2 linked regions of the Coturnix japonica genome follow. The protein of the gene in region 1 purifies or fractionates together with the protein of each later gene. This does not show direct contact. Links are inferred from orthologs where the notes say so. Each region holds a gene or a part of one and is shown on either strand. Other genes may lie near its edges.

The links.
Region 2: the proteins of KIFBP (region 1) and KIF14 purify together in Homo sapiens (affinity purification with mass spectrometry; 3 studies listed by BioGRID and IntAct, counting the BioPlex papers as one, with this or other methods). This does not show direct contact. The link is inferred for Coturnix japonica from reciprocal best matches to the Homo sapiens genes KIFBP and KIF14.

Annotation. Positions count from the first base shown.
Region 1 is NC_029521.1:8,806,042-8,810,048, forward strand, and holds the start of KIFBP (KIF-binding protein), read left to right. Parts: upstream 1-1,207; 5' UTR 1,208-1,222; coding exon 1,223-1,666; intron 1,667-3,530; coding exon 3,531-3,629; intron 3,630-4,007. UniProt on the Homo sapiens protein: Activator of KIF1B plus-end-directed microtubule motor activity. Required for organization of axonal microtubules, and axonal outgrowth and maintenance during peripheral and central nervous system development.
Region 2 is NC_029523.1:1,368,090-1,371,589, reverse strand, and holds part of KIF14 (kinesin-like protein KIF14), read right to left. Parts: coding exon 3,481-3,500; intron 2,875-3,480; coding exon 2,748-2,874; intron 2,151-2,747; coding exon 2,057-2,150; intron 1,177-2,056; coding exon 1,038-1,176; intron 138-1,037; coding exon 40-137; intron 1-39. UniProt on the Homo sapiens protein: Microtubule motor protein that binds to microtubules with high affinity through each tubulin heterodimer and has an ATPase activity. Plays a role in many processes like cell division, cytokinesis and also in cell proliferation and apoptosis.

The DNA of each region.
Region 1 (4,007 bases):
CAACTCAGCTGCGGTAAATAACATTATAACTGCTTTAACAAGAACAGATAAAAGGATTGCTTGAATTCTGTGCAAGTGTGGCATTTTAGTACCTTCTCTTCAGGACCTTTGAGTATGATTTCTTAGAACTGTTAGCTCATTCTAGTTTAATGTTCTTTAATGGAACTCCGCACTTACTGGCATGCTGTGGGAAACTAGAGAGACTTGGTAACAGTCAGCACGTTTTCTTGCAATGAGACACCAAGTAATTGTGCTGGACATCTAAATAACTCAAGTCTTTGATGCTACAGAAGAGCCTAATTAAGGAATCCTTACAGTCTGATAGGCTGGCTCTTGCTGTTGTAGTTTACCTTTTTCAGGAAGCACCTTACTTCCTATAAGCTATAGGCTGTCCAAGCAAGTTCAGTTTCCTCTTACAAGTGTATTTCTCTGTTACTCCCAAAGGGCTTTGTGACTATGGTGTTACAGTGCTCTATAGAGATGCGTTCCATGAGCTACGCCTGGAGAGGGCTGAAGGAGCAGCTTGGCGAGGAAATAGACAGCAAGATATCTGCCATGCGTTTCCTCAAGGGGAAGATGGTAAGACAGCCCGTCCTTTGGGAAGGAGGGGTGGCGGTGTTGGTTTGTGTGTGTGTGTGTGTTCAGTTTTGTGTCCTGGGATATATTTGTGGAAAGAAAATACCACTTTATTTATTTATTTATTTACCTGTTGTTACAGGGGGTGTGCTTCGATATCCCCATGGATGAGCTGAATAACATACAGGTACATTACAGTTGGAACAGTTGTGTTATGTGAAGTGGGATATATGGTCTTACCTGGGATTTTGTTCAGGGTGGGTTAGAGGATGGGGTGTGTGACGTAACAGGGATGCTGCACTGAGAGATGGGCAGAAGCATTGGGTTATTTCCTCTTTTTCCATGGCTGTGCTGTGCTGTGTTGGTGCTGTGCCACTCGCAGTGCTGACGTGTGGTGTCTGTGTCTCAGGAGCAGTGGCGGGACACGCGGCGCTGGCAGCTGGCGGTGGCCAAGGAGCTGCCGGAGCTGGAGGAGCAGCCGCAGGACTCGAGCCGCAGGCCGCAGCCGCGCTTTGGCGGCTTCAAGAAGAACGGGAGGTTCGGCGGCTGGCAGCAGGGCCGGCCGGCAGGGGCAGCCGTCGAGTGAGCGCGGACTGTCCGTGTTTTTACCACATTAAACAGCCGTTGGACGCTCGGCCGCTGTCTGATGTTGCACAAAGTCTCGCGGGTCGCCGTGACGGCGGGAGGGGGGCGGGGCTCGCGTGACGCGGGGCGGGTGAACGGCGGCGGCGGCGGCGACAAGATGGCGGCGGCGGGCGGCTGGTGGGCCGCGGCGTGCGAGAAGTTTCGCAACGCCAAGACGCTGTCGGACGTGGAGTCCCGTAAGGACCCGGAGACGGAGCCCTACCGCTCCAAGTACAGCGCCCGAGCGCTGCTGCAGGAGGTGAAGCAGCAGCTGAGCGCCGCCGAGGATTGCAGCGAGCCGCGGCTGCTGGCCGTGAGGCGGGCCGTGCTGGAGTTCGAGCTGGGCGTCAACCACACCGACACCGAGGAGCTGTCGGCGGGAGAGGAACATCTGCAGCGCTGCACGCAGCTGCTCGAGCCGCACCGACTGAACCGGGACTGCGTGTCACTCTACATCCAGGCACAGGTGGGCGGGGGGGGGCGGGGTGTCGACTACGGGCTGAGGAACGGCCCGGGGCTGGGGGAGGTGAGGCCTGAGAGGCTGCACAGCCGTAGGGGGCTGGTTTGAGACCTTATTGCACAGCCTTGGCTTTTACTTGCTACCCAAGTGGAGTTGGGGAATGTTTTTGTTTTTAATCTTACACGTAAGAGGAAAATTCTGAAGAACATGATCACATCCTCTGGATGTTTATGTGGGAACCCGTCCCTTACATGCACACACACACACACACACACACACTTTCACTTATGTAGAGCAGTTGTCCCTTTTAGAAATGGCTGCTGTGATTTAGGAAGGGCTCTGGAGTACTTCACAGCCACACAGTGTAAAGCTGCAAAGGGACTGTGTGCTTCTGTGAAGCGTGGATCAGATGGTGGCTTCTTCTGCTCTACCTGAGAAGGAGAGGCTGTAGTGAGGTGGAGGTCACCCTCAGAGCAGGTAACAGCGATAAGATGAGGGGTGATTGCCTCAGTTGGCACCAGGGGTGATTTGTGTTGAGTATTAGGGAAAAACTCCAAAAGAGCAGTGATACAGTGGTACAGGCTGCTGGGGAGGTGCGGGGAGTCACCATGCCTGGAGGTGTTGCAGAGCTGTGGGGGTGTAGCACTGAGGGGGTGGGCTGGGTGAGCTGAGAGTTTTTCCAACCCTAATGACCCAAATGGCTGCCCATTTGTGGTACGGGGCACCCACAGCTTTGGGCAGCATTCCCAGCACCCCACTGCCACTCCAAGGAAATAATTTCTTCCCAGCAATTTTACTGATGTGCTGGAAGTAACACTTGAGAATCTAAATAAAAACCAAACAAACAAAAAACCCAAAACACAACACTGAACGTCAAGATTGTGGCAGCCAGTAGTGGCTGTACTTTTACATGAGTACTCTCCAGTGCTGTAAAGTACACTGTCACCTCACTGATGCCTGTTTGGCAAGGAGGAGCATTCCTTTTCCTACCAGGCCTGTTTCTATAGCCCTCCTCCTCCTCCTTTCTGCCTTTCTGCATAAGGATACATGTGATGATTTCTGGCTAATTAAATTTGGTCAATTCTGTTGCACAGCTGTGGGCAAAGTGTTTTTGTTCATAGCTGTCATGATACGTGTGGCTTTCTCTTAAAATATAATAAAATAGAAGGAATCGAAAGGTCTACAAGGCTGGCATTCAGCTACATGTAAGAGCTTTCTGAAGGTTTTTTGTTTCCAGTCCTGTTAGATTTTGTAACAGCACGTGCTAGGAATTAAATTAGCCCACTAAACATGGGTTTGCAATTAGCACCTTCAACTTAATAATAACATTAGGGTTGTTTTTTGTAAAGAGTAGATGCAGTGAGACGTTACCATGCACTTTGCTGTGATATTCACTACTGTCTTTAAGTTTGTGGCTTTTGCACCACAGCACTTTTTAATTTCCTCGTCAAAATGTGCAGGTATTCATTCCTTCCACACTTTTTCCCTATTAGGTTTTTCCACAAAGACTCAGTGACAGATTTATTTGTCCTTGACTCTCCTTATATCTGTATGATTTCAAGGTTGCTTGAATCAGGTGCAGAATAGACTGTGTACAGAAACCTTTCTATATGAACACACCAGGGACAATTTAGCAGGGTAAACACAGAAAATTGCCATTTGTGAGGTGACTTTGTATGCTTGTCTCTGTGAGAACCCTCCTCTTTGAGCAGCTTGTGATAAAGTAGGTGAGAACAATTTTTGCCTTTTGGAATCAGTTATATTAGGCAGATACGTAGGGTTGAAGACCAATAAATTCTATGGAGAAAATGTTTAGTGTAAGTGGAATTGATTGGAAAATAATTGCTTTTTTTTTCCCTTTTAACTTCAGAACAATCTAGGTATCCTATGGTCCGAAAGGGATGAAATTAAAACTGGCCAGACTTACTTGGAATCTGCAGAAGCCTTGTATAATCAGTACATGAAAGAGGTACGGTGCTTATTAATCTGGCAGCAGCTCTTACATTCATACACCACTTACAGTTTTGATAATTGTGGAAGAAAACGTACAAAACAACTTGAGTTTGTGAGCTTTGTGATGTCGCTTCTGAAAAGCCGCGTGGTTTGTTTACTGGCATAGAAGGCGTAGGAGGATCACTTGATAATTCCAACATGGATCTGAGAAAATAGTTTGTGTCAGAAAACAGTGATCCTTATTACAAGGTCTTTGAATTGATACTCCAGTGCTGAATCTGGCTTCTGATTAAGATCATCCCACTTTTATTATGGGAATGCTTTAGAAGGTCAGGCAATTGCTTTTGGTTCGAGAAGGAAAACAAACTGTAACATCTGCGTGGTTTTCTCTGAC
Region 2 (3,500 bases), on another chromosome or scaffold:
TTTGTTTCAAGCAGGGGTGAAGGAATTGCAAATGATCACCTCCTGGAAAGTGAAGAAACTGAGGCATCTGAAAGGTCAGGTTCCCATTCATCAGCAGGGTCATAAAATACATCAGCAGCTTTATTGCTATCATTACTCTGGGAAATAAAGGAAACAGAAGAGAAGGAAGGTTAAGTAAAAACAGGGAGATAATAAAGCATACTATACAGATGAAGACATCACATTCGGCTGTACAACAGCAGATCTAACCACAGAACCACAGAATCGTAAGGGCTGGAAGGAACCTCCATGACCACTGAGTCCAATCCCCCCTTCATGTTTTTCTTTTTGTTAGGAAATGTACAATTTAGAAAATAACTAACTGGCAGCAAGGTTGACATGCAAGTTTTTAGAGTGCAAAATGAAACATGAGACATTTGGTACAGACACTGCTATTCAGCATCTTGAGATAAAGGATACAAGAATACCAAGTAAAAAGCCTGTTCACAACTCTTTCCTTATGACATCTGTTAAAATTCTGTGCATGTAATTCACACAAAAGCAGATACAAAAATAAATACATTTGTAATGGTTTTAGCCATATTTTTGCGCATGACATAGAATTCTCTTCTCTGCTGTTTTCAAGATCCAAGCAGGTTTTAGTAATAAACACGATACACTTCTACCACTGGAAATTGTTGCATTTCACAGAATTGCATTGTAAAGGAAGGTTTTCTCTTACTTTTTTTCCTGGATTTACTTTGTTATATTTTTTCCCTTTTAAACAAGGCAAGGAAAGATTTTAATACCTGATATACATACAGAAAAAACCTCCATATATACAACAAATTTTACATATCTAATATACTCATATATACACATATGTATGATGAGGATTTTTTGTGTGGGTGGTTGTTTTTTTGTTTGTTTGTAAGATCACATACCAAAAAAAAACAACCCAACAAGATTCTCCTTATACAATTATGTTGATGATTGAAATATCTTCAACAAAATGTTACTACTCATCAGTTAGTTCTTTTCCTTAAGTTCTTACTAACCTCATAGAGTTCTTTCATCGCTGCTAGTTTGCTTTCAAATTTCTCCAGGCTCCAGAAAGTTGCTATACCCAGTTTCAGGTTACGAACCTGCACTTGAACAGAAGAAACCGATCCTGTTCTATCATCGATTTTCTCATGCCTAAGAATTTGAGAAAATTAAAAATAAAAAGCTATAGTAAACACAAAGTACTTGTAGGTAGATCATACAGAGATCAAACTTTTTAGTACAAGCCCAGTAATTGTCAAAAACATCATGTTTTCCACAAAATACAAAGATTAGTTTCGGTTTCAAATTAATTTATATTTAAAAGAGAAATAAACCAAAACCTTTGCAGTCCATAATGCCTAGCTCTCAAGAAACTCAGAACCAAATACGTGTTACAGACTTCTATTGCCAGAAACATCTGAAAACCACAGTAAAACACATCCACTCATCACCCCTACTATTGTAGCCACTTACACACAGAGCAGGAGAATCTCTGCAGTGAATCTGTGCTCCTGCCAAGGACAATTAACCATCACACAGGAACAACTGGTCTCAAGTCCTCAATATCCAGTGCATGCATGTTCTGAGGTTTTCACTTTGAACTATCTCTATTGCATTAAGTTTATAAGGCTACATCATGGGGGCTGGGCACATATATCCTGGTTTAGTTTTGTTCAAAGTTAGAGCCATTTCCACTGAAAAACACCTTCAAGATCAGAAGTTTCACACTAATAAGTAATGTATTTAATATGCTTTAGGACCTCTCTGATACATGAGCCAAACCACAATGGACATAAGCATCATGAGATTTGATTCACCCCCAAAGCATGCTGGATTCAAAATGAATCGCCTAACGTAAACGTAACTTTATTTCAAAGTAACACAACTAAGTTCCACATTCCTCTAGAGCTAGATGGGAAAAATAATCTGTCGTTCAATTAAATAGAAATCTGTTCAAAGAAAAACAAATAGCTGATTGTACTTCTAGAATCCCCACCACATACACTTAAAGTCAGCTCACTCAGACACTTACCTGTTAAAAACAGTGTTTTTCCTTAATTCATTACTAATGGTGTTGGCCTCTTTGATCATCACAGATAATTTCAAAGAATTCCAGTTAAGAGCAGCTAATAAAGAGTAAAATACATAATGATCAAGTTATGTAATGCAACAGCTTAAAGGTTGAAAATGCAAAAGAAAACTACACACAGCATCTTGAATGGAATTTAACTATTTAGCTGGACTGCGTTTTCTCAGTACAGTGGAGGAGAAAGCAAAAATAGCTTCCTAGATAGATAACTCAGAAAAAAAAAAACAAAAAGGGAAGGGTATATAAAAAGTAACAACATAACTTTAGATACTATCAATTAAGCTAATCTGATATAGGAGTCTAAACAGAAGCAACTGTTACTCCAGTGTCTCCAGTGGATTAACTCCTAACTAGTTCAGCCAGACTGAGAAAGAAATTTAAAGTAACTGGGGTAAATATTGACTATCTGGGAACCCACCAAACCACCCTGAATGAGATAAAGCAGAGATTTTAGCACGGTCTGGTATACATACTTCCATAAAAGTAAAGGATTGTAGCAGCCCTAAGACTGTTCTTTTTCATGTTTGTGAGAAAGGCATTAGAGGAAGAAAACTTCTGGATCCACACACATTAAATCCAAGTCTGCTGTGCAGAAGAGAAATCACTGCTCCTGCAACATTAAGTACAGACTTACTATTCATAGCTTTATTCCCACTTCCACGATTCTTCTGAAGGCTTTCAATTTCTTCAGCAATCTTCTGTTTCTCATCTTCTAGAGCTTGAAGTATTTTTGCATGACGAATAGTATGATCTTCCAGAGCCTGAGCAAGACAGAGGAAAAAAAAAAAGAAACAAAGCATAAAACTCAACAGTGCTTAATTATGTTTATACTTAGTCTTCCCTTTGACATTTTAAGGATTTATACTACAGAAAGAAATGCATCTTCCACATCTGCCATCAGTATGAAACCCTTCATCTTCCATCTTTGACAGCTTTCTTGTTTTGGTTAGATACTGAAATATTTAAAAGAAATACAGAAATGAAAGATAAGCAGAATTAAAAAAAGAAAGCAACGAAATAGTTGTTCTAAAGTCAGATACATGAATACCAGTGTAAAAAAAAAAAAAGACCATTAGCCATTACTACGTTCACTCTTAAGAGCTGGGACTTTTGGCACTAGCAATGGTGGCTGTTGGTATGTAAGCGAAATAGCCTGGCTTACAAGAGGAATAATGATGTCAGCAGTAGTTTATCTGCGAACAGCATGCTATAGCACATTCAGATAGTAAACAAAATGCATTTGTTTGCATAGTATCACATAGGAGAAAATACTTGAGAAAAATCATTTCTCTCACAATACAGTACAGTGTTTTATTTAAAAGACAATTATGCCACTTAGAAACCCTTCTGTTTCGTTTTATAAATACCTGCTTAGTAGCTAGGGCTT